Linked DNA regions of Caenorhabditis elegans. Each later gene encodes a partner of the first gene's protein in a complex. Each region holds a gene or a part of one and is shown in the gene's direction. Other genes may lie near its edges.

Region 1 (8,034 bases):
AGCCGGACAACTTAAATATGAGATCGAAAATGAGATGGCTGGAAAAGAGGCGGATAATGATGATAATAGAAAGAGTACGACCGATAATTCTACAAAAGGATCTAGTTTTGACATGTTCTCTCAATATTTTTCATTAAAATTTAGGAATAATATTTGTTATGTCTAAAAATAACTTATATTTTAGTTGGAACAATCGGAAAAGTGCTCAAATATTGTCTCAAAGTTTGAGATTTGTGAGCATCTTTTCAACTATTCCAACTTAAATATAAGTTTTTTCAGATAAAGGAAACATTATTCTATATTGCTAGAACATTCTAAAACTAGCTCCTTTTGTATAACTACCAGTATTCTGGAAACATATCATTTTTCAGGCGCCAAAAAAGCTCGTGGACGTCCACGTGGAAGTGTCAACAAGCCCAGACAAATGGTCAAAATGGAGCCACAAGACGATCGTTTCTTCGAGGAGTTCTTCATTGATGCGCCACCACTGCAATCAATGTCATCTAATGAAGAGCCAACTTCTTCAAATAAGGAATCCAATGAGTGCACGCCATTCAATGATATTCTCAATTGTCTGCAGAACGGTAAGCTATTTGACATAACATTTATCACTAATTTATTTTTATTTCAGATCCTATGAATTTCTGGTCTCAAATGCAACAAACCGGTGTTATCGGTCATTTCTGCGACGACATCATTGTCAGTGCAATCAATCTGAAACAATCCGTTATGGATAATCCTGTCACTCCCACCACTGCCAACATGCTCACTCGTACTGCATTCGCTCTCGGAATTCCACCTGTCGTTGTTCATCGTGTTCAATCGATTGAACGAAACGCTTACCAACAGCGGAAACATGACGAAATGTTTAACGATATTCAATCAACTTTGGCCGAGGAGCACAGTGTCAAATATCAGCCGAGAACATCATCTTCAAGTCAAGAGAGTCTTCACACTGCTCGAGAATTTACAGAAGAGAAGGTTGAGGAACTTATTGATGTTTGCAAGTACGACGATTATCCAGAATCTGAATGTCTTCCAGGACCTAGTCATATTCAATAATTAAACAATTACGGATTTAATCCACAAACGCACAAATAGTGTGTGCATTTTTTCGTATGTATTTTAGAACTTCATGTTTTATAGAATATAATTAAATTCTGATCCAGTGGAATAGCCCACTGCTTACTTGTGAGCTTTCCCCCCTCAACATACCGGTGAAAATTGTTTGTAGTTCTTCTAGAATGTTTCATGCCTTTATAATGAAATCGTGTTCATTTGAAATTTCTATTCATGTTTTACAAACTCTTACTCGTCACAACGTAATACTGGAATATCTTTTAATTTATGTTTATTTTTTTTATATTCAATTTTCAACCTCATTCTTTTGGAATTAAGACGCCTTCATCAACAACATTATTGATTGCGTCGACTTGATTCCAAAAAATGAGTTTCACACGAATACTCATCAAAGTGTCATGGCAACAAAGAGATAGAGACGAAAATATATCATTGAGCAAACAACAAGCTTTCAGAAGGGCACAATCGGTTTTCAGATGAATAGAATTTGTGCTAATCATCTGCTAGCGGATTTTGTTCTTGAGAGAGATAATACTCCGCTCATAAGTAAACAATTGAGAATTAAATTCGCACAAAAGCATAAATCTTCATTCGCGAATATTTTTATTACTGTAGGGTCTCGCCACGAACAGATATTTTCTGTATGTGTCCCTTTAATTGAACTGTAGCTTTATCGATCGGTCGAAGGCATCAGAAAAACTTTCTTTTTAAATATATATTTACTTCATAACAATTTCAATCAATTTGTGAATTTTTTACATTCTCTTTGGATTCTCAGTGTGCGAACTGCCTCGTTCCCGCGTTGACAACGAGAGACAAGAGTCGCAGACGACTAAACATCATTACGAAACTCCGGTCTCCCTTCGACCCTTTGTTTAGCAACGAGGACTTTTGAATTGAATTGTGCTTCTTGTTTGAATATATTTTATTTTCTCCTGCTTTCTATTATCTAAAATTGTGTTTTAATTACAGGGAAATGGATGTACCATCATCCAGCAACGTCACTGGACGCAGAAAAGTAAAAAAAGAAGAATGTTCTGCTTCTACCAAAAACGTAATGTTTTCAGAGACAAGTTCTAGATGATGACGAAGATGATGGCTTCAGATCTACCCCATTGCGTAAAGTTCGAGGAACTAAAAAAATTAGGCCAGCGGATGTGGTGCCAGAAACAATTATGACAAAAATTGGCGCCCATATCGACGATATTGTGAATAAGAAAAAAGTTGGAGAGCTCAACTGTTTCGAATATAAATCGCCGCTTGAAATTCATACAATCGAAGATATGATCAAAGCAAAAGCTTCAATCCAAGAGATGGCAGTTGTGCTCGAAGGAGCTCAGTGCATTATTGGTTATCGAGTCGATCGGCTTCACCACGACGTTCGACAAATTGATTCAGCTCTCTCGAGTGGTAATTACATTTTTTTTTTAATATTCTTGGAATTTATCGTTTCTTTTTATTACAGGAACTGTTATGCGAGATTCAAATGGTGAAGAAATTCATTTAACACTGGAAAGCAGAAAAGCTAAAAAGAAAATGGCTGTTGTTGACGGAATGAATGGAATGCTCGATTTTCTCAATAATATGGATGATGCTCTGACAACCACCGAACTTGACGCAGACAATGATAAGAATTGGAAAGAAGATGAGGAAAATATTGCCGGAGAGCCACGAATTGATTTCAAAGCCAATTCCAAAGATGTTGACGCATTTCTTCAAAGAGACATTTTCCCCGAAAAACTCATTTATGCATTGTCAATCAAACGAGCAACTGATCTCAGAGCTGACCTTCTCTCTGATGTTTCCAATTACATAAGTGCTGATGATACGGCTCATGATCTGAAAGACGCAAATATCGATTGGCTGAGAGCTAACCCGACATTTCAAAAGGCAACGAAAGGATCCGTGTGCAATTCATCAAACTCGTTCCATTCTCTTAATTATTATGGAATTCATTCTCCCGATGGACGAACTCTTATGTTGCATAATCGAATTGCCGATAAGAATGCTGATGATCGGTTTTTCACGTCCGATGTGTCTGTCTCACTTGTAAAAAATACACGAGCTCTCCTCACCAATTCATTAGACAAAAAGCCACGAATTCTCGACAACTACTTGATGCTCGAAGTCAAAGATCGCCCAGTTATTGGGAGATACAAAATAATGTCAAAGGATGTGAAGAAGTCAACGCTACCATTGGCGGAATCGTCTCGTGAGAAAGATCTCGCCAACTTGACATTCGCAGAGATGAATCATCGGCCTTCAAATCTGGATATGACGGTGGCAGGAGCATCGGATATGTCAATGCTTCCAGGAAATCAAGGATTACCACTCGCCCAGGGAGAAAACGATGAGACGATCGCTCTAGATAGGCTTACACCTCCTCTTCAGTCGTCTGTGTCACAGAAAGCGAGTGACGAATATGTTCTTCCACCTCTTGAAGCTGTAAGTTTTTTTGCGCGCCTCTGAATACATTTATGATATAAATTATTTTCCAGAATGATCTCGATGAGCATCTCATTGGAAAACTGCCAATTGAGCCGAATGAAATGGATCAAACATTAGCCAACATGTTTGATAAGAAGCTGGAAGTGTTCAACACATCTGATACACTTGAATCAAAAGTCTGGAAAAATGGAATACGTGCAGAAGAATGGGGTGAAGATGATGAGGCAATTATGAAGAATGACACGAAACATCCACGTCAGGCTGGAATCGAAGGTTGGATTAAGGCAACTGATGCATGGACCAACTATGATGTTGTAAAAATGAATGTAAATCGAGAAGCTCGTTCTCAATTGGATGAAAATGCGATTGACGAGCAAGAATCGTATAGAAATATGGTTCCGGAAATTGGAAAGAATTTGTTCTTGGTGAAATCGGATGATTATATGAATAACTATCCTGGAGATCGTCCAGCAGACTTCACAGTGAATGATGAAGTGTCTGATGTGATGAAAATGTGGTCTGGTGAGGATAGTACAGCTGAAGATGATGTTCCGTTAGAACAAATTCAACAAGAAATACGGGAACAAGTGCAACAACAAGATGTTGATATGGAGCCTATTGAGGAAATGGATTACGATGCCGGCGGTGCTGCTTTTGATGTAGACTTTGATGATCGACTTGCAGCTCCGGTTGAAGTTGAGGAAATGGAAGGAGATAATAATAGAAATGATGGAAGGGTGGCTGATATTCTTTTTAATGAGCAGATGGATGAGTAAGTTTCAATTTTGAATTGAAAGTTGATTCTGTTCGGTTTTTTGTTGCCTATAATGACAGAAGAACGTTTCAATATAGCAAAAAAAACCGTTATTCATTTAATGTAGATAAATGCAAAAATTTATTTTTATCCATTCTCACCTATTCATGAGTGTCGAAAAATGCAAAAAAATACAAAAACTAGACGAATAGGGGGGAAAATGTATAAAAATACATTTTTTAAAAAATTTTCTACATCACATGAGTAATGAATAACCACAACTATTTTGAGATTTCTTCAACAATTTTGCAAAAAAAGTTAAATCTTTTCTGAATTCCCGCGCTTCCCCTATTTTCGACATTTTGAGTTTCCGGCAATATTAATTGGATACTCTTTGCTTTTTTATAATTTTACCTTTGAAAAACGCTAGATTCAACATTTTTGAAAAGACTATCCACATTTTTTTTCAATTTCAGAACTGAAGTAGAAGAACGAAATGAGCAAGATGTTCAACGGGAGCTTGAGGACATTGCACTTGCAGCCGATGAAGTTGCAGAGTTGATGACTTCTGCACCACCGCCACAACTTGTTGGACCATCTGCAGAAATGCGTGAAGAGATTCAAAATATCGGAAAGAACGACAATGCTCATTGGGTTCCACCAGTCGTTGGTGATCAAGAGAGACAAGCAGCGGTTACAGCACAACGGAAACGGCGAGAAAAGAAAGCGAAGAGCAGAAAAGCCACTGTCGAAGATTTCGTTCATTACTTCCGTGACATTCCTGATGACGAGATTGAACGAGAAATTACTGCTGCAAAATGCTCTAAAATTGCTGATGAGAAGAGCACTTTCCTTTCGGAACAACAGTTATATCTTCCAACTTTGGGAATTGAAAACAAGCCGCATGTCGCTTTTGAAATGGGTCTTCTCGGTAACAGCGGGATGTTCTTCAAGAAATCATATGGGAAAATACGACTCGAACGTGTCAAAAATCAAAAGGCTGAGCAAGATTTGTTCATTGATGAAGCCAGAGGAAACAAGGATTCGGATTGTCTCAATTGGCTACTTTCATTCAGTGGATTCAGGTGCATGGAGTGAGTGTCTAGGATTAAATATATATAAAATTGTTAATTTTTCAGAAATCCGGAGCCTATCACTGGCTCTGACTCGGACGAGAATCTACGAACTGCCGTAGAGCAACCGTTTGATGACGATTTTGCCAACGATTATTACGTACGTTTCTGTTAAGACCTGCCGGTTTTCCTGTCGGTTTTCTGAATAATCGAGAATCGAAAAATTTTCGTTGTTGATTTTTCCAGTTAAAAAAAGCTCGTTCAAAAGTCCAAAAGTTTTCGACGATCGATACCGTTAAATAGCTCAGACGCGAAATGTTGCGACTTTAGAACAAAAAATACAGTACCCGGTCTCGACACGACAATTTTTTATAATGAAGCCGAGTGTGCGCCTTTAAAGAGTACTGTAGTTTTAGACTATCGTTGATGCGATGTTTTCGGTGATTTTTCTATAAAACAGATTTTTTAATTAAAAATTGAAATAAAGCACGAGAAAACAATTCCTTTTTAGTGTATTTACAGATTTTAATAAATAAATTTTATTTATTGAAAAATCAACAAAAATTTTGCAAAAAATGCGTCTTTTCGAGACCTTGATACCGTATTTTCGGAGAGAAAACTACAAAATAATTCGGCATCTAATTACAGGACGAAGACAGATACGATCCAAACTATGAACAACAACTCGCTGCTGCACAAATGGGTCCGGATATGCAGGTAAAATTAAGACGGAATATTTTTTCCAGTGCTCATTGAACATTTTCAGAGGAAACTAGCCTTGACCGCAAGTCACATTAATCAAATGTTCCCGAATATCCATTCCAAACGATACGGTGGTGAATACGGAGATTCAGATGATGAATTTGACGATGTAAGTTTAACAAAAAATTTATATTAAAAAAGTTTGTATAATTTTCAGTCATTCGATCGCCAGTCGATCCAGGCAAAGAATCTTGACGCCGCCAAGCACAAGAAGTGTCTCGCTGAAATTCTGAAGACTGATAGTCTATCGATGCCTTCAATTCAATATGTTCTGGAGCAGTTGACATCTAATCAGACTCTACGAATGAATAATACAACTATCCGAGCTGCCGATGATCGTAATGAAACCGGAAGACCTGCAACACCGACAATGGAGGCCGACAAAACGTTGACGTCAGTGTTTGACTATAGATCACCGAACAAATCGAATCACGATGTGAACGAAACGATGAAGGCACTAACAGAGATGCCAGATTATCAAGCAGCAGATGAGCGTCCCAATAATCAACCAACTACATCTACATATGGAACTGCTAACACTGAAAATAGAAAAGTGCATATAAATGGATGCCATACACTTCTTTCGTTGGCACTTTCAATGCCTTCCAGAATGGGAGAGACTGTTAGGCCCTCGTCTATCGTCAGCTTCCTATTGCATATTGCCAATGAAAATGTATGTTTAGTTTTTTTGAGTTTATTTTTTCAAACTCATTCTAAATTTTCAGAACTTGCAAATTGTTCAAGATCGATCAAAGCGATCCTGGATGTCTGATTTCATTGTTCTCAATTCAAGTGAAAGCCTACCACGTGGTCTGAAAATGGGAAGAATCGAGGATCAAGACGAGTTCTGGAAACGAACTCAAGATCCGGACGCCATCGAGGGTACGGCTAGCGATGCGAATAATGTGTTCTCGAATTTGATGCGACGTCCGAAGGCAGTACCAGTTCGTAAAGGTCGTGGAGCAGGTGGTCAACCTACAACAAGTGATCTCGGAGCAATCGTAGAAGAAGAAGAAATGGAAGAATAAGCATACTTTATTAAATTTCTCCATAAAAAATCATTTATTTTCGGTATCAAAATTGAATCTCAGAATCCACCCAATTCGATGTATTTATTCATTTTATCTCTCATTTCTCGAAACTCGAAGTTTCTTTATTTATTTTTCTCTCTCTGAATTGAGTACCCCGACACCAAAAATTTTAAGTTTTCTGTCAAATCACTCTTTACAATGAATATTCAATATGATATTCGAGCCATAAAACTTGTAGAATTCTAGGGATACAAAGACCCTTTCTGATTCTTCCGAAAAAGCATTCACTGATTCCATAAAAATTACGAATTCAGATGTATAGAAACGGGATCCGATGGATTACCACTAGCACGGCGGCTCTGAAGGGACCCAGAAATTATGTGAATCGAAAAACGGGACGTGGATGTGGAAATTCGGTTCTTTCAAGATTCGAGTGGAGATATGATAAGGTTCTTTGGAAATTAGATTGAAAAATATAAATTCAACTTTCGTTTATTACCCAGGCGCGAAATTTTGCGATTTTCGCGCAAAAAATACAGTACCCGGTCTCGAAACGACAATTTTTGTCTAAATGCGAAAGGGTCTGCGCCTTTAAAGGGTACCGTAACCGCGAGCTCAACGAAATGAGAGAAAAACTTTAGAAAATCAATGATAAATAAATTGAAAACATTTTTGATTTTTCGGGAAAAAAATTAGAAATCGAAAATTAATTTTTTGTCAATTTAAATTAACAAAAAATGTCAACATTTTTATCAAATTTTGTGTTTTTTTTTGAGAAAAATTACAAGAAACCGTTAAGTTTTCTTCTATAACGAAAAAGATTTTAAAATGTAGGCTGCTTTTTCGGAATTCAATTTTTTTCGAAATTTTCTAGAGGCGAAAAATC
Region 2 (7,728 bases), on another chromosome or scaffold:
GTTCCCCTCCATTTTTTCGATTGCAGACTTTCTAGAAGTTTACATGGTTTGTGACTCTGTAATATGCTCATCTGAACCGTATGTTGGCAGATGTTCTTGCTCACAAGACCATCCGTTGTTTGATCTCTCATTTCCCACCATTAGAAGACCCGTTGTTGGCTGCAACATCAAAAACGAAATCCTCAATTACACGCAACTAACTGCTCAAATTATAAGCTTATCTATCATCTCAACAGAGGAGATCAGCTCATATTCTTCTCTCACACACCTCTTCTACCCATCACAAGATGGAGTCGTGCCAGCCCGTACCAGTGTGCTTGTTACCTAGGCGACCTGAGAAGTACAAAATAATCATCCGTCTCTTGTTTCTCACACCTTGTTAAAACTAGTCAGTTTTATACTTTTGTCTTCTGACTTCAATTCTCTTCTATTCTCTTCTTCATTAAGGATGCCCGGATCAACTGGTGCAATGGATTTGACGGAGCAAGACACGGGTAATCGCAGACAGTAATGCCTATCAGGACTTTAACTACTTGTTCTATTATAGACGAAGTTCAATAGAGATCGTACAGACACATAAATTGACAAAATTTTTGGCTCATTTCCTTCATGCTTCCATCTGGATTCACATACATATCTAATATAAAATTTCAAGTTTCACTCATCGTGTTAAACTACTTCTTATCAATAAAATCTAGTGATTTTTTTTCAATATTATACATATAAAAACCTCTCGGTTTTTTGGGGACCTCTTCAGCTGAAAACTCGTATACTTTTCCCAAAGCGTGATCGTTGATCGACTATCTGTAGCATATCGATTTGTACATCTAGTAATGGGAAACGTTTGCCAAATTTTCAAATAATTAGAATCTTTATCTCTCCAGCTCCTTAGTCTGGTACACCCAACCTTCTTCGCAACAATATTCCGCTCATCACCCACCCACCCATTGCTATGGATTCTCTCCGTCTCTTATTCCACTATTCTTTCTCTCACCCGAATCGTCTTGACCGCAGTCGGAGTCTGTCATTTCTCTCAGTCTCCACGTTCTCCATGCTCTTTTCCACTTTCACCTTCGTTCTCTTTCGTCGTCTGCCTCTAACCCCACACTCGGTCAGCAGTAGTAACAGCTCGCACACACAGACACAGACATACGCTTGCGCGCGCGCAATGAAATGGGTGTGTGCTCGTGTGTGACCGTTTCTTAACTTTTTTTTTGAATTTGACAAATAAATTAATTAGCGCAGCTTTCATAATCTTAAATCTTAAAAAAATTAACAAACTTATATATAGTTTCCAATGTTATCTGTGCCCTGATTTTCCTAAAGTCCGGAAAAAAAATTCGTTTGAATTATCGATTTGAATTTTTCCCCAACATTAAAAATTTAGTTTTCAATATTTGAGGTGAAATCATACTGATAACTATATAATATACTATAACATTAATAAATTTCTAGATGACTTTTTTCAATGTTATCAATTTGTAAACTGTGTGATTCAATTTTAAATATGAAATATATATTTCAAAATTTTTTGATTAGGTAATGTTGGCAATTGGCATTCAAAGAAATTTTGTCAGTTGATAATTACCAAAAAAATTTGATTGGAAGGGGTCGAAAGTTTGCCAGTTGTCAAAACATTTCCAAAGCTTTGCCTTTTTGGCAAAATTATGCACCTCTTACTCTCCCTCTCCCTTTTAATATTTATCAAAATTAATTCCTTTTTTCAGGTATGCAGCCGTTTAAAAGACGGGCGCTAACCTCGGACGATGATAGACCATATGCTGACACCGACTCGATGCCTGAAGTCGATCTCGACGTGGATCGCCGACGACAGTACATGGAACAGCTCAACATATTCGATGATGTTAGTTCAGGCGCGTATATGTTGGAACTTGAAGCGGCTGAAAACGGTGTGAAATATGATGAAAAAGAGGATCTTTTGAATGTTCAAATTCCCCCAAAATATGAAGATCAGATCTCGGATCCGGATGGAAATCGAATGATAATTCTGAATATCTACGTTGAGAACTTTAAAAGTTATGCTGGAAAACATATTCTCGGACCGTTTCACAAGAACTTGACAATGATCCTGGGACCAAATGGAAGTGGAAAGTCAAACGTTATTGATGCATTGCTATTCGTGTTTGGATTTAAAGTGAGTTTTTTAAATTGAAATTTTTATTCCACAATATACATTGTTTCAGGCTGGAAAAATTCGTACCAAGAAGCTATCAGCATTGATCAATTCAGGAGGGAACTACGAATCATGTTCAGTAACAATTATGTTCCAGATGGTGAAGGATATGGTAAGTAGGTTATTAAAGCGGGCCTGAGATCCACACGATTGAAAACAAACTAATAACTATCAATATCAAAATTAATTTTCAGCCTGTCGAAAATTACGATAAATATGAAGTGTTAACAGATAATTGCGTCTGCATCACCCGCACAATAAATCGTGAAAACAATTCAAAATATCGTATTGATGACAAAGATGCATCGCAAAAAGACGTCCAGGAGCTTCTCCTACGTGCTGGAATTGATATGACCCATAATCGATTCCTGATTCTGCAAGGAGAAGTTGAAGCGATTGCACTAATGAAGCCAACATCCAAAAATCCGAATGAAGAAGGAATGCTTGAATATATTGAGGATATTGTTGGAACCAATCGTTTTGTCGCACCAATTTCCAAACTAATGCATCGGGTTTCTCTATTGGAGCACAAAAGTTCACAATATGGAGCCTCGTAAGTTCATTTTAATATTATTAAATACCACAAATTTTGGCACGGATGTACCACATAAAAATATAAAGCATGGAAATTCAAATTGAACTAGGAAAAAACAAAAAAACTTTGCGGTTTCAACTTGAAATATATTAATTTTCTGAAACTTAAAAAAATTTCAAATTAAAATTCTTTCCATTTCCAGTGTTCGCCGCCACGAGGGACACCTAAAAGTCTTTGAAAAGGCAATGGTTATCGGGATGGCCTACCTGAATACCTTCAATAATCTCAACTACCTTCGTGGAATCCGTGTCAAGCACAATTTGTGCCGTTATGCTGAAACAATGAGGGACGCCAAAATGAGTCTTGTCACTCGAACAGGAGAACTCGAAGAGAACAAGGATATCATGCTTGAGGCAAAGGATGAAGTTCGGAAGAAGGAGACTCACGAGAGAAGCCTTAATAGTATTGTCACTGAGCTGGAGAATAAAAGAATCGATTGGCAATCGAAGAAGAATGACTGGCATGCACGTGATGCTAAGAGAAAGCAGGGGCTCAAGTCGTGTACTCAGGACCTTGGGAAGCTCATGAAGGAGCGGGATGAAGCTCGTCGGGAGAAGTTTGAAATTGAGACGGCTCCAGAGAATGCGAGAATCTCTAAGCAAAACATGCAACTCGAATGGGATCAGCTCAAGGAGCAGGAGAATGTGTGTCAGCGGACAGCTACAGAGAATCTCATCAAGTATGATCAGAAGTCTAGTGCCGACAGAGCGAAGCATGATGATCTGGAGAAAAAACTCTCAGATGAGCTTCTGCAATCGATGCGAGCAAAAGCAGAATTGGACGTTTCTGAATCAGAACTTAAGGATATGACGATAATGATGGAGCAGGGACAGAAGAGAGTTGATGAGCTTAAAGGGACATTGCAAACAATGATGGCTGAGAACATTAGAGATAATACGTAAGTTTTATTTTATTTTATTTTATTTTAACCAGCTTTTAAAAATTCCCCATATCCTTCCAGTGAGCTAAACGCCGTCACAACTGAGCTGCAAGATAGAAAGCTGAAGTTTGACAAAGCTGTCGAGAAGCTTCCGCATTTGAAGTCTACCGAACAACTTTTGAGAAGCAAGAAGTATGAGCTGGATCAAGAAGTGATTGAAGCATCGAACACCCAGGAAGTTACGTACCGTCATCAGGCAACCGCAAAGCTTCATGAACTGAAAGAGGCTGGATTATTTCCGGGCTTCAAAGGTCGCTTGGTAAGTTATTCGATTGGGAGTGAGTACCTGCTTTGAAATTTGATTAGCTGTGAGCATCCTGGGGTAATCTGATGTTCCATGTAAGTATGATTTTTCTGGGAGAAATACATTTTAAATAGGATCTTTCAAATTCAGAAGCCACACGTTTAGTCTGATTTCGAATTGATTTTTTTTCGAGGACCAATTTAAAATTAATTGTCTTACAGGGAGATTTGGCAAGTATCCCAATCAAGTTCGACACCGCAATTTCAACAGTGTTCTTTGCACAATTGGATTACCACGTTGTGCAAACTAGCGATGAATGTAGAATCGGAATTGGCTTCTGCCACGAGTACAAACTTCCTCGTACGACGTTTGTCTTCTTGGATCACTTGAAAGATACTGATACTAGCGGAATGGATTCTACAATGAAATTGTTGGTAGTTGCCTTTAGTTGCCAAATCTAATTAATTCTTATTTTCAGCCCAGCCGAACGACTTTTCGATAAGATTCACTGTGTAAACCCTGAGATTCGCCGCGAATTCTATTTCTTGATCCATGACATTCTGGTTGTTGACAGTCTTGAAGAAGCAACTCGAATTGATAAGAAGTATCCTGGAAGGCATCGTTATTGCACACTGAATGGCTCAATTTTGAACCGAAGTGGAGCATTGACTGGTGGTGGAAAACCGACGACTGGTCGTATTCGAAATGATAATAATCCAAACATGAGTGGAGTCAAAAAAGTTGATTTGAGCAAGCTAAGAGCCGCACAGGAGAAGCACAATCACGCACTGGAAGCTCATTTGAAGTTGCAGTTAAAGCAAGAAGAGATCCGAGCCGACAATGGTCCGATTATCAAACAGCTCGAGATTCGTAAGCGTGAATTGATTATGTCCACCAAGGAGCAGAAAACACGGATTGCCGAGTTAAAGGTGATTTATTTTTGCGTCTCTTACTGAAACACAGAAATTTTCGCTGTTCCGATTTTCTTGAAAATGGATATATCGAAAAAAAAACTAGATTTTATTCAAAATTTCCATTCTAATTTTTTAATTATTTCCAGAGCTCAATCGCAGCACATGAGCGCCGTATGGTTAACTATAGAGAAGTGACCGTTGAGGATTTGGACGAGAAGAGAGCTCAAATTGCAGATCTGAAACGTCAAGTGGAGGAGAGCCAAAAGTCTTCAGCAAAAATCAAGCAGCAAATTGAGCAATACAAACGGAAAATGGACCGAATGTTTATGGAGTTGGTCCAAAAAAATAAGGACTCAATTGAGCAGGCGAAGGATCGAATGGGACAGCTGGAGCAGGACATTGCACGACAAACTGCAATTATTGAGAACAATCCATCACATTTGGAGCAGGCCGAGAAGAAGCTTAGTGAGCTGGAGCATATGTGTCTGGAGAAACGTAGCGAGGCAGATGCATTGGCTCAATTGGAAGTTGGAGAGGATGTAAAGGGAATTGATATTATCAATGCGCAATTGCAAACTTCAACGGTATGTTTAATTTCTATAGGACTAGGATTCTGGTTAGGCTTATGTTTAGGCTTCGACTTCAGTTCAAGCTTAGGTCCAGGCTTAGGTTCTGGCTTGAGCTCCAACTTAGGCTTTTTTTAGGCTTAGGCTTTAGCTTGGTGTTTCCAACCTTGCTCCCTTAGTTCTAGTAAACATTTTCGATTTTTTTTCAAAATTTTAAACCACTATTCAAACAATTTTTGCGCTTTTTTAAGCAGTCTCCTTATGAAGTTCGCCATTTTCGAGCTATTCAGAATTTACCAATTCAAGCTTTACTATTTTCTAATTTTTAATCTTCCAGGCCAGCATTGATGCACAAAGAGCCAGGTACACTGAAGCGGTTGCGGCACGCCGAGAAGCAGATGCAGCCTATCAAACCACAGTTGACAACTACAACATGGTCAAACAGACTTATGATGAACTGATGAGAATCATTGATGACTTGGAAAACAAGACAATGGCGGATAATGCAGAACTTGATATTATTGAATCTGCATGGATGCAACCGGAAAAGCTCTATCCACCTGGCAAATTTGTCAGATATAATGATCCAGATATTGCGGCCAAAATGACTGATGGGTACGTTTCAGAAGCTTTGGGAGATTTTCCATGTGCAAATTCAAATTTATAATCACTGAGTTTTTAGGCACGTTGTACTCCCATATGAATGCATCAGTATGATCGAACCTCACCGTGAAGCTTACGAAGAGCACGAAGCGAGAATGCTTGAGGACGATGTTTTCGAGGACACTGCTAACAAGATTTGCAAGCTGGAAAAAGATGTTGACAAGTTCCGGCGGGAATTTGATAATAAAGGTGTTCGGGATTATGCGATGATTGTGTCGCTTCTCATGAACGAGGTGACGTCAGCGAAGAAGTTTAGCGATAAGCTGAAGGCTCATCGTGAGAAGCTCAACGAGTTGAGAATGGCGAGATTCAACGAGTTCAGCGAGGCGCTCGCATTCTTGGGTACTACTACCCAAATGCTTTACCAGGTGAGTAAGGGGTACTTGCCTGCTACCAGGCTGACAGGAAGCATTTTTTCTGTCAGACCCATTGCTTTAAATGAGATTAAAAGAAACAAGTTATTTGCTTACAGCTTATCACCAATGGCGGAGATGCTAGTTTGAAGTTTGTGGAAGAAGGAAAATCTACCGATCCCTTCGATGGTGGAATAAAGTTCAGTGTACGTCCCGCCAAGAAATCCTGGAAGCTCATCGAGAATCTATCTGGCGGAGAGAAGACTCTGGCCTCTTTATGCTTTGTCTTTGCAATGCACCACTACCGTCCAACACCCCTCTACGTGATGGATGAAATCGATGCGGCACTGGACTTGAACAATGTCAGCCTGATTGCAAACTATATCAAGCATTCCGAGCGAACACGGAACGCTCAATTTATCATAATTTCGCTTCGAAATCAAATGTTCGAGGTCGGAAATCGCTTGCTTGGTATCTATAAAATCGATGGAAAAACTTATAACATTATGGTGGATCCGATCGCGGTGGAGATCAAGAATCGTCCGATTTTGAAGATTTTCGAGGAGGAGATCAAACGGCGCGAGAAGCTACGACGTGCCGAGATTGAACCGGAAATTGATTTGAGTAATGGGCTCAGCAATGTCGTTATTGCACCAAAACGTAAGTAATAATTAGTGACATATCAACTGCACTTTAATTGTAAAATACCAAATCAAAGTAGCAACCAGTCCAACTTAAACCCATCTCAACAAATACCAATTTTCAGGTAAACAACGCCGGCTGGAAATGCTGAAACTCTCGGACTTTGGTCTCGATGATGACAGTGATCTTCCTGAATTTAATAGATTCCCACCCGCAACTCGTCGTGAATTAAGTGTTGAGGATTCAGATGAAGACGATGAGCCAGTAAGAAGACGTCCGCGTCGTCAAGTTGAAGAGGAAGATGAAGAGGATGAATTGATCGAAGAAGCAACTCCATCTCCACCACCAATTGTCGTTCAACGCCGTGTGCGAAGAAGCAGACATTAAATTGAAGTAATATATTTTAAACTAAATTTTGAAAAAAAAAAGAAAACTTTGTGAAAAATCCAAAAAATGAGACCAACTTTCTTTCAAGCTTGTATTTTTTAATATTCGTCTAGCTTAATTTTTCCTTGTGATTTTAATTATTTCCCTTTTTAATATATTTCCATTTTGTTGTATATTTTGTGAAACCCCTATATCTTTGCATCACGTACTGTCCAATCTATCTCATTTTC
Region 3 (4,943 bases), on another chromosome or scaffold:
ATTTCGATCGAAATACGAGTTTAAAAAACCAGATTGTCAACTCCATTTTGGCAAAATTCTATAAAAATCTCGAATTTCCTCTATTTTAGCCGGTTTTGGGTCTAAATTTCTCTGAAAAAAAAAAACGGTTTTCAAATAAAAAATTACCACTTTTCAGTAAAATGCCAATTTGGTTTGCAAAAAAAAAATCGATTTTCAAAAGTTTTTCCCCCTGAATTCTATCAAAATTTCGTATTTTTCCAATTTTCGCCACGAAAAATGTCTTTTTTGCAGACAATGAACTCAGAATCCGGTACTTCAAGCGGTGGAATTGTGCTAAAACACTCGGGACGGCTTGGTCACAGCTGTGTATATGGAAGTGGAACATGGTCTGAACGAAGGCAATACGAAGAACCATTTGATCAAGTCAGTGAACGAACCATCTCGATTTGTTCGACAGGACACGGTGAATCACTTGTGAAAGCCGATTTCTGCAGGGGTATCGCCACGAGAGTGCTGTAAGTTTGGGAAATTATTGAAAATTTGGAGATTTTGCGCGCACTGGATCATTTTCCGTAGAAATAACTTAAAACTGAGCAGTTTTAGATGTAAATCAGCATGAAAATCCACAATTTTGATGATTTTTGAATCTTTTTTCGAACAATTAGCACAAAAATCTATAATTTTTGGAAATTCTGACCAGTTTTCTTTTTAAAAAAGTTGCTTAAAATTCGGGGATTTTGCGCGTTCAGGACCATTTTCTGTAGAAATTGCATAAATTGGGACGTTTTTAGCGATTACAATTTTACAAAGGCAATTTTCTCTCAAAATTAGCACAAAAATCCACAATTTCCTATCTATTTTCTGCAAAAAATAGCTCAAAATTCGAGATTTTCATATATTTGTGATCTGAAACAAACTGCAAATCCAAGTTTTTTACCGTTTTTCTTGAAAATGTAGCACAAAAATGTAATTTTTGACTGTTTCTAAACTTTTTTCTCTTAAAATCGGCAAACAATTGATAAATTAACAATTTTTAAATTATTTCCCTTACAAATAGCTTTAAAAATTGTAAAAAAAAGAAAATTTAATATTAAAAAAGATTTTACGACTAAAAAAAAAGAGATAAATCGCTGCGAGACCCTAGTTACCATAACAACAACGCATCAATTTTGTTTCTTTCAGAGACGACGAGGAGGGTATCATGTACAGTGAGATTATTCGAGAATTCATACACGAAAAAATGGAACAGTAAGTAGATTTATTATTCCATTCAGAGCAGCATATTTATATTTAAATAATTGAAAAATTGAACATCGAAAGTTCGAAAAAAATGAAATTTTTCATAAAATTTTGTATCTGTTGATGAAAAAACATAATAAAGCTTTATATATATATTTTTCGAAAAATCGAAAAATTGATTTTTTTTGCAGTGGATCCCGATACGGTGGCATCGCATTGATCGCCGACAAATTCAAAGATCGAATGTCGCTGGAATTTCTGATTTTCCATAATTGTCGATATCTTCCGGCTGCAGTTCGTTGTCGAGACAATCAGATTCGTGTTTTTGAATCACAATTCGATCCGGATCAATGTACTACTGATCCTAAATGTGTTATCGAGTCATTCATCATGTAATAATATGTATATGATATCAAGAATTCCGCGTTTAAAACTTAGAAAAATCTGGAAATTGTGTTTTTTTTTCGGAATTTTCCGGGGTTTGAATGCGGAAATATACAAAACAACTCCCCCACTCCATCCGATTTCTCTCTCAATCCTCCGCTGAAGAATATTTTATGATTTGAAATTAAAATGAAATGAAGAATTTTGTAAATATTTTAATTTTTAAACTTTTAATTGTTTTTTCTTTTATTGAATTTATTCTAGTGCTCACTTGCTCGCTTAGAAATATCACTGATTTGTTATTATTTTTTAAAAACTAATTTCCCCCTTCTACAGGCTTTTCCCCTAACAAATGCCGAGAAAACAACGCGTTGTCACTACACCGTCACCACCGACTTCAGATGAAGATGAGGATATGGATTTTGGCTCGACGAGCCAGCAACAGCAGCAGCAGCCGACACGGAATAATGATGGATTGAGGTTGAGAATTTCAGTTGGAAAATTATAGATTTTTCAGTTTTTTTTTTCGTGAGAAAAATCAGATTTCGTGCACAATTTTCACATAAAAAACTAAAAAAATCAGTTTAAAATTCGATAAAAAACTTAATTTTTTCCGATAATTTCAAAAAAAAAAATTTAATATCAAATTTCAAAAATTTCAATTAAACTCCAGATTTAGATATATTTTTCTCAATTTTTACTGAAATTTCTCTGCAAATTGCAATAATTTCGATGCTTTCTTCACTGAAAAACCCATAATTTTCATTTAATTTCATTTAAAACTAATATATAATTTTTTACAGAACCTTTTATGGAATTTTCTAGAAAAAAAAGTAAAATAAAGAATTTTTCCTGTGAAGTTTAATAAATATGCACCGTTTTCTAGAAAAAAAAGAAAAACCATGGATTTTTCCGTTTTTTTTTTTGAAATTCATTTCAAAAACCGAAAAATCAGTTTTTTTTCCATTTTTCCTCAATCAAAAATAATTTTTTTAAATTTCCACAGAAAATGCAGAAGTAAATCGGAATTTTTTAAAACAAAATATGAAAAAAAAATCACAAATTTCTTCAAATTTCTCCTGAAAAACCGAGAAAAAGGCTGTTTTTTTCCTGTCAAAAACTCTAAATTTTCAAATTTTTTTTTTCAGTGGCTTCAAAAGTATCACGGAAATCATCGCCGAAGCTGACAATAATATTCCATCCGAACAAATCGATAAGGATATCGACAGTTTCTCTTCATATTCGGATATTTCTGATTGGAGAGGAATTCCAAAGTTCTTTCCATCGTTGAGCTCACTTTCACGGCGAGCTTCTACTTATGAGAATTGGGAAAATCGATTCAAAGTCGTCGATTATCTCGTTTCTTGTGCGTTTTTTGGTGGAATTTTGGAAGTATAAAATATTGCTCTAAAACCCGATTTTGAAGAGAATTTTTTTTAATTTAAAAAACCACGAAAAAGTTCAAATTTGCTATATTTTAAGAGGAAAAAAGTGCCCAAAACTCATTGATAATTTCCTGAAAAAGCAGAAAAATCGACAGTTTTCTCAATTTTTCTCAGACCAAAAAATTGAAAAATTTTGATTAGAAAAAAAAGATTTTTCGGTTTTTTTTTGTTGGAAAAAATAAAAAATTTCAAAAAAAAAGTAAAATGTTTAAAAATTTCGAAAAAAAATTGAAAATTGAAAAACCTAGAAATTTGTACATGCATATTTAGTTGAAAAATACCTCAATTTTTAAAAAGCTTCTAGAAATTTTTTTAAAAAGTAAATTTCCTCCTGTTTTTCCTCCGATTTTCGAAAAATTCAAAAATTTTCGCTGAAAAATTGTTTTTTTTCGGAGAAAATCTTTGAAAAACTTTGATTTTTCATAGAAAACATTACTTTTATTGTTTTAGACAATTTTCTCAATTTTTCGACAGAAGAATTGAAAATTTTTGTTTCAAAAAACTATTTTTCGGTTTTTTTTGTTGGAAAAAATAATAAAAAAATCAGAAAATTCTCAAAAAATATAGGACCTTTAAAAGCGGCAATTGTCTAAAAATTTCAAAGATAAACAGTTGAAAACTGCCGGATTTGCCTGATTTTTTCCGGTCATTTTCAACTTTCAGACAATTTTTTTCGCTGTTTTTAGTTGTTCAAAGTCGAATTAAAAAAAAATAATAATTATTTTCAAATGCAGATAATATATTTTCCACTTCAAAACCCCGCAAAATTTTGCAGGTTCCGGAGCTCTAAAAGACTCTGTAAGCGACTACGTGGCCGATTATTTCGAAAAAAATGAATCTGGAGAAGATCATAGTGTCGATGTGGAATTGGTGCATGCAGTCAGTATGTTTGTAATTCTTACTCAACGATTGACTGTTCAACTTCAATTATACGTATCAAAATCGATAGCATCAGCCAATCAACAGGCGAAACGTGGTACTGGAAGAGGTGGTCGTCAAGTTGATTTAGATGATGATATTGTCAAGTGGAAGGATATTCAGAGACATCGGGTAATTATAGTTTTCCAGGAAAAATAAATTGTAAATTTATAGATTTTTTAGAAGAAAAAACATTAAAAAAAAACGCAAAAATTCATGTGTCTTCGAGAAATTTTAGGTTTTTCAGAGATAATAGAAAATCCAAAATCGAAAAAAAAAGTTTGTAAAATAAATAAAAAAATCAATTTTCTTCTTAAAAAAAAAAGAAAACTCAGATTTTTTTAACTCCCAAATTTTCGATTTTCCGATTTCATTTTGAAAAAAATCGAAAAAAAAAACAACTACTGTAATCCTTAAAGGCTCACGTCCTTTTACTATAAAATCGGTCGTGCCAAGACCCGTTTAGTGAAAATTTCGCAAAATATCGCATCTGGGAAATATAAATATATAAAATTTCGTGTTTTCTGGTCAAAGCCCCCCGAAATCTGTATAGAAAAGAGCTCTTCCATCTAAAAAATTGAGTTTTTGAAATTATTATTTAGTTTCTAGAAAAAAGCTCCAAACTCTGAATATTTCTATATTTAATGCCATAAATATTTAAAAAAAAATTTCATATAGTTTTTTCTGCTGAAAGGATTTTTTTTTGGATTTTAATATCAATATAATATAATCAGATTTGTTAATCCATTTTAAAAATATTATTTGCAAAATTTTCAAAATTCAGATGATCAACTGCCTGCTGGAATTACTTGAACTTCGTGTCGACACCGTTGCCGGAACCAAGAAAAAGGCGATTCAATACGTTTTTGCGCCGGATGTCATGGAAAAGGACTTTTTGCTTCGCTTCCTTGACACAGTTGTCCAATTGCTTGAAGATCCCGAGAATATGGCTCGTTCCAGTCAACAATGGATTTC
Region 4 (4,985 bases), on another chromosome or scaffold:
AAGTAATTGTTTTGTGCCCTCTTAAGTTTTACCTTTTTTGTAGATTTTTTATGTATCTAAAAAGAATTATGTGTATTTGATTGAACATGTGCAAAAACAAAATTAAATGATTAATTTACAACAATAGAATTTTAGCAACATATAAATAAATGAATCCATAAATTTCGAGTAAAAATGAAGAATATCAACTGCTTTGCTCATCAAGAACTATAATCTTCTCACGAGTACATGAATCACAAGCTGGTAGCCGAATAACAATGTACGATGGCTCCTTCTGGTAGACCTTCTTATCACAAATCGGGCAACAAAAGTTCGGAGTATGTACTAGATGTGGTCCGTCGACGACAGGAGCCAACTGATACGACTTTTTCAGAACTGGAGGGCACAGATCATCGTTGGCTGATCGCTTTTGAGCAGCATTTCGAACTGAAGCCATATCCGTCCTCCGGAGCAAGACGGGCGGAGCAACTTGTTGATACTCGTGATCACTTCGGTCTCGCTGGGGTACGAGCATCTGGTCGATGGTGGCGTACGCGAATTCTCCATTCATTAATTGGATCTGAAATTTCAAAGCTTTAAAAAATATACTTTATAGAAGTTTTATGAGCATTTTTCTTCGTTTTTTCTAGAAAAGCTCTGTTTTGATCCAAAAGTTGAAAATAATTACATTTTATCGGATCAAAACAGAGCTTATCTTGCCTAATTAAACAGAAAAAGTAAAGAGTTTCTCACCTTGTACTCCGAATCGCCTCGAACATATTTGACAACCGCATCTTGAAGACGACCATCAGCTGTCCGAATTTGAACGGTTTCTCCAATTATTGGGCTTCTTGTAGATTCTAAAATAATTTGGATAATTAAAATTAGTTCAAATAAGCTTCTGAAACTCACTTCCAGCTTCCAACTGTTCATGATGATGATGGTGATAACTTGTTGATGGAGCCTGATCGTTGTATGCAGAATCTTGAGCTTTTTCTTTTCTAAAAATAATAAAAATATAGTTAAAATTCTACGTGTTGACCTACATGGGCGGTAGAGCAAGTTGCACAAGTTGATGGACATTTTCAGTGCTTAAATTGTTTAAATCAATGTTCAAATTGGCGATTTCGGAGGGGGAAACATAGAATTGCTTCTGTTTTGATGTAATATTGACTCCACCATCATTTGTCAGAATAATATGCATTGCATTATCGATTATCTGACCATTCCCATCATATTCTTCCTCCGGCCCATTTCCATCACCTTCAAATTGATTTTCAATCATTTCGTGATGAACCATGTGATGATGTGAACCATCTTCTATGACAACTTCTTCATTGTGCTCTTGCTCGTTTTGTTTCGCCTGTCGTTGTTGACTAATCGCCACCACAATGTTCAGCTGCTCTTCGGTGAGATGATTAAGCTCAAAGCCTGCTTCTACATCGAAACCCGCTTCGTACATGTCTTCCTGCGTGATTTGAACCATATTCTGAAATATAAATATTCTTTCAATTCATCGAAAAGCTTGAAATACCATAAACTGTTGATCACCATCCTCCACAATCATATCTCCTTGTTCAAGATCTTCCGGCTGCTGCTGCTGCTGCTCAACAATTTCTTCTTCATGCTTAGCACTTTCAACTCGAAGTGGGGCCTGATCCTCGTGGAAAATATGATCTTCATCGGCAGGATATACACCTTCTGGGGAGGATCTGGAAATTCCATTTATTAATTTGAAAGAAAATGTGATTTTTATTCTTACCCAGGAATTTCTTCTTCACGGCCTGTTGTTGGGCTAGCAGGATTTTCTTTTTCGGAATCCATATCTGCAACGATTTTCGTTGTTTAATAAAAATTAAAAAATAAAAATTAATAAATGACTCTAAATTATAGCGAAGGAGAAAAAACAAAGGAGAAAAAAATTACAAAAATCACAAGGCAACTTTTGCGCGTCAAATCTCATACATTCCAGTCCGCAAACACTCTCACGCCACTCTGCACACTTCTCAAAAGACGCGCCAAAAAACATTCAAAGCTCATTCGGCTTTCGAAATAAACATTTTCTCAAACTCGTTATCGACTTATAACTTATTTTTGTTCAAAATCAATTCGACAGGGTGCGCTCATAATGCACATTAAATCCATCCATCTGGATGGCTTTAAATCGTACCAAAAGCACACCGATATTCTCGATTTTTCGCCGACTTTCAACGCAATCACCGGTGAGTATAGTTTTGTGCTGAAAACTAATAGTTTGAAAAACTTTAATTTCAGCATAAAATATAGTATAATAATTGTTTTATTTCAGGATACAATGGTAGTGGAAAATCCAATATTCTCGATTCGATCTGCTTCATTATGGGAATCAATAAGCTCGATAATATCAGAGCAAGTATGTGGCTCTTTCTCATCACAAAATTATTTTGTTGTCATAGTGATACTTACGCGCTTTCGGACTGAAAAAGCACAAGATCAGAGTAGCATAATATTTCTAGCAAAGATTTTTTAAATTGAAATTTAGAAAAAAAAATTAAGTCAAATATCATTCCAGAATCAATGCACGAGCTGATTTCCCATGGTGGAACAAAAGCGATCGTCCAAGTTCGCTTCGACAACACTGATAAAAGATGCTCCCCGTTCGGAATGGAACATCTCGACGAGATCGTCGTTCAGAGAATCATCACAGCTCAAGCAACTGGAAAAGGATGTGCAACGAGTTACACACTGAATGGGCATGCGGCCACAAATGGAAAAATGCAAGATTTCTTCCGTGGCGTCGGTTTGAACGTGAATAATCCACATTTTCTCATCATGCAAGGTCGTATTACTACGGTGCTAAACATGAAGCCGGAGGAAATCCTCGGAATGGTTGAGGAAGCAGCTGGAACAAAGATGTATGATCAGAAGAAGAAAGACGCGGAGAAAACAATGTTTTTAAAAGATGCAAAACTCAAAGAAGTTGATAGAATCTTCCAATCAAGTATTGATCCGAGAATGGTAAAGTTCCGTGAAGACAGAAAGAATATGGTGGAAGTGACTCGTCTCAAGAAACTCAAAGAGAACTTTTCCCGAAAATACGAGGCGTTTCAATACTTTCAAACATGTGAAGCGGTGAAAAAAAGTGCAAAAGAGATTGAAGATGCCAAAAAGGGAATTGAAGATCTCGGTGAAAAGTTTAATCAGCTTGATCTTGACTTGAAGAATAAGGAAGATGAGAAGAAAAAGATGGAAGAATCTCGAGATGATCAACATGAAGAGGCTGCACTTTCAGCGGCTCATCTTTCGAAACAATCTATAATGCTTCAGAAGGAGACTGTCAAAAATCAATTGGTTGAAACAATCAATAAACTCAAAAAGGAAGGTGAACAAATCAACAAAAGCTTGTCAAAAGATCGTGAAGTTCTCGACGCAAAACGAAAAGAACACGAAGATTCAAAGGCGGCTAACTCGAAAGATATTCAAAGTCAATCTGATGATGAAGCTGTAAGTTCGAGAAATTATTCTAAAAATAAAGTTAAAAAAAAACAATTTCAGCTCGTCACAAAATACCGTAATGACCTCGAATCCCTAACGAGAGGAACAATTGCTAATGACAAAGGAGAACATGTGTCGATTGAGAGTGAAATACAGTCTTGCAAGTCGACTGCGTCTCAAATGTCATCTGGGATTACTGCTGCGAAGAAACGGTAACTTTCCTGAGAATTGGAACAAAAAATCTAATTTTGTTTATGTCGATAAGAATAATGACAAAAATTTTGAGATATTTTAAGAAAAATCGAAAAACAAAAAGTTTCGTTTTTTCGCTTTTTGAAAACGTCAATGATAGTTTTTTTGCGGATACTTTCAATGAAATTATTCTGTCGTTTTCTCTTCAGTTTTCTGTTTAAAAAATTTTAAACCAGTTTTATACTATTTTTACATTGAAAACTGGTTTTAAACAATTTTTAAACAGAAAAATTAACATAAAACGATAAAAAATTGACTACAAACGATGTAATTTCATTGAAAAATTGCAAAAATTGAAAGAAAACACAACATCGAAAAAATAATGCATTAATTTGGAAATTCAGTAAATTTAATGGGACAAAAGAAGAAATGTACTTTTTTAAATAGGAATATCATTGAAAAATTGGCAATTTATTTCAGCGGTGAACGTCTACACAACCAAATTAAACATTTGGAAGGCGAAAAAGCTACTCTCTCAGCCAGAAGTAAATCTGACATTGGAAGTGCCGATAATTATCAAAAAGAGGTATCAGATATTTCAATTTTTTTTTCTCCGAAAACTTAAAAATATTCAGGTCGATGAGATCAATAAGCAACTTCAATTATTGGGTTTCAATATAGATGCTGATACGGAGAAACGAGAACACGCTGCAAAATTGCATGAGAGCATCACTAAGCTCAAGGATATGGATACGAGACTTCTGAATTCATACAAGTAAGGTTTTGTGTGAAAATTCATTTTAAAAGAGTTATACCGTTTCAAAATTTAAAAAAAAAAACCTATTTTCATAATAAAACCCGAATTTTGTCAATTTTTCAGTATCGCAGCGAGCGGAACTTGGTTTTTATTCAATTATCGCCTTTTTATTGCATATTTAAATATGAAAAAAAAAAAACATATATTTTTGTAGTATATTATGCGTTTTTTTTTCGTGAATTCAGGTGCATTTTCTGCACATTTTTGGTGAAATCGACCGAAAAGCCATCAACATTAACGAAAAAACGTGCAATAAAGAGTGATAATTTACTACGAACCAAGTTCCGGCCGTTATGACACTGAAAAGTTGGTAAAATTCGAGATATTAGCTTTAAAAAATAGTTTTCTTTCGGAATTTTGAGAAAACTTTTTTTAATTTTAAAACAGTTGTTTTTCAAAAATTAATGCTTTTTTTCAGCTAAAATTTCAAATTTCGCGAATTTTTTTTCGAGAGTTTCGGCATAATCAACTGAAAAAGCACCAAAATTTAGGAAAATTGCGTGATAAACTATCACAATATGCA

The links.
Region 2: dpy-26 (region 1) and dpy-27 share a complex: the UniProt entries of both Caenorhabditis elegans proteins name them as parts of the dosage compensation complex.
Region 3: dpy-26 (region 1) and dpy-28 share a complex: the UniProt entries of both Caenorhabditis elegans proteins name them as parts of the dosage compensation complex.
Region 4: dpy-26 (region 1) and mix-1 share a complex: the UniProt entries of both Caenorhabditis elegans proteins name them as parts of the condensin I complex.

The regions. Positions count from the first base shown.
Region 1 is NC_003282.8:12,445,313-12,453,346, reverse strand, and holds dpy-26 (Condensin complex subunit dpy-26), read left to right. Parts: upstream 1-2,011; 5' UTR 2,012-2,056; coding exon 2,057-2,098; intron 2,099-2,147; coding exon 2,148-2,490; intron 2,491-2,545; coding exon 2,546-3,525; intron 3,526-3,578; coding exon 3,579-4,300; intron 4,301-4,758; coding exon 4,759-5,376; intron 5,377-5,421; coding exon 5,422-5,515; intron 5,516-6,003; coding exon 6,004-6,072; intron 6,073-6,121; coding exon 6,122-6,226; intron 6,227-6,274; coding exon 6,275-6,790; intron 6,791-6,842; coding exon 6,843-7,145; 3' UTR 7,146-7,462; downstream 7,463-8,034. Other genes in the region: Transcription regulator spe-44, read left to right, coding at 1-74, 372-584, 632-1,062; C25G4.3 (Ribosome-binding factor A), read left to right, coding at 7,463-7,597. UniProt on the Caenorhabditis elegans protein: Required for both chromosome condensation and segregation and for X-chromosome dosage compensation depending on its binding partners.
Region 2 is NC_003281.10:3,813,679-3,821,406, reverse strand, and holds the start of dpy-27 (Chromosome condensation protein dpy-27), read left to right. Parts: upstream 1-1,727; 5' UTR 1,728-1,729; coding exon 1,730-2,155; intron 2,156-2,204; coding exon 2,205-2,306; intron 2,307-2,388; coding exon 2,389-2,747; intron 2,748-2,931; coding exon 2,932-3,687; intron 3,688-3,750; coding exon 3,751-3,988; intron 3,989-4,194; coding exon 4,195-4,403; intron 4,404-4,451; coding exon 4,452-4,902; intron 4,903-5,033; coding exon 5,034-5,471; intron 5,472-5,790; coding exon 5,791-6,068; intron 6,069-6,135; coding exon 6,136-6,484; intron 6,485-6,588; coding exon 6,589-7,129; intron 7,130-7,235; coding exon 7,236-7,498; 3' UTR 7,499-7,728. UniProt on the Caenorhabditis elegans protein: Central component of the condensin I-like dosage compensation complex that associates specifically with hermaphrodite X chromosomes to reduce their gene transcription throughout development.
Region 3 is NC_003281.10:10,761,190-10,766,132, forward strand, and holds the start of dpy-28 (Condensin complex subunit 1), read left to right. Parts: upstream 1-1,941; 5' UTR 1,942-1,957; coding exon 1,958-2,085; intron 2,086-2,753; coding exon 2,754-2,971; intron 2,972-3,825; coding exon 3,826-4,100; intron 4,101-4,752; coding exon 4,753-4,943. Other genes in the region: tasp-1 (TASPase homolog), read left to right, coding at 274-497, 1,165-1,230, 1,413-1,617. UniProt on the Caenorhabditis elegans protein: Required for both chromosome condensation and segregation during mitosis and meiosis and X-chromosome dosage compensation depending on its binding partners.
Region 4 is NC_003280.10:10,822,277-10,827,261, forward strand, and holds the start of mix-1 (Mitotic chromosome and X-chromosome-associated protein mix-1), read left to right. Parts: upstream 1-1,969; 5' UTR 1,970-2,107; coding exon 2,108-2,201; intron 2,202-2,287; coding exon 2,288-2,371; intron 2,372-2,530; coding exon 2,531-3,462; intron 3,463-3,513; coding exon 3,514-3,665; intron 3,666-4,125; coding exon 4,126-4,231; intron 4,232-4,280; coding exon 4,281-4,420; intron 4,421-4,985. Other genes in the region: ech-4 (Delta(3),Delta(2)-enoyl-CoA isomerase), read left to right, coding at 1-6; R06F6.12 (uncharacterized protein), read right to left, coding at 185-559, 733-839, 892-980, 1,026-1,468, 1,514-1,691, 1,742-1,803. UniProt on the Caenorhabditis elegans protein: Essential protein required for both chromosome condensation and segregation and X-chromosome dosage compensation depending on its binding partners.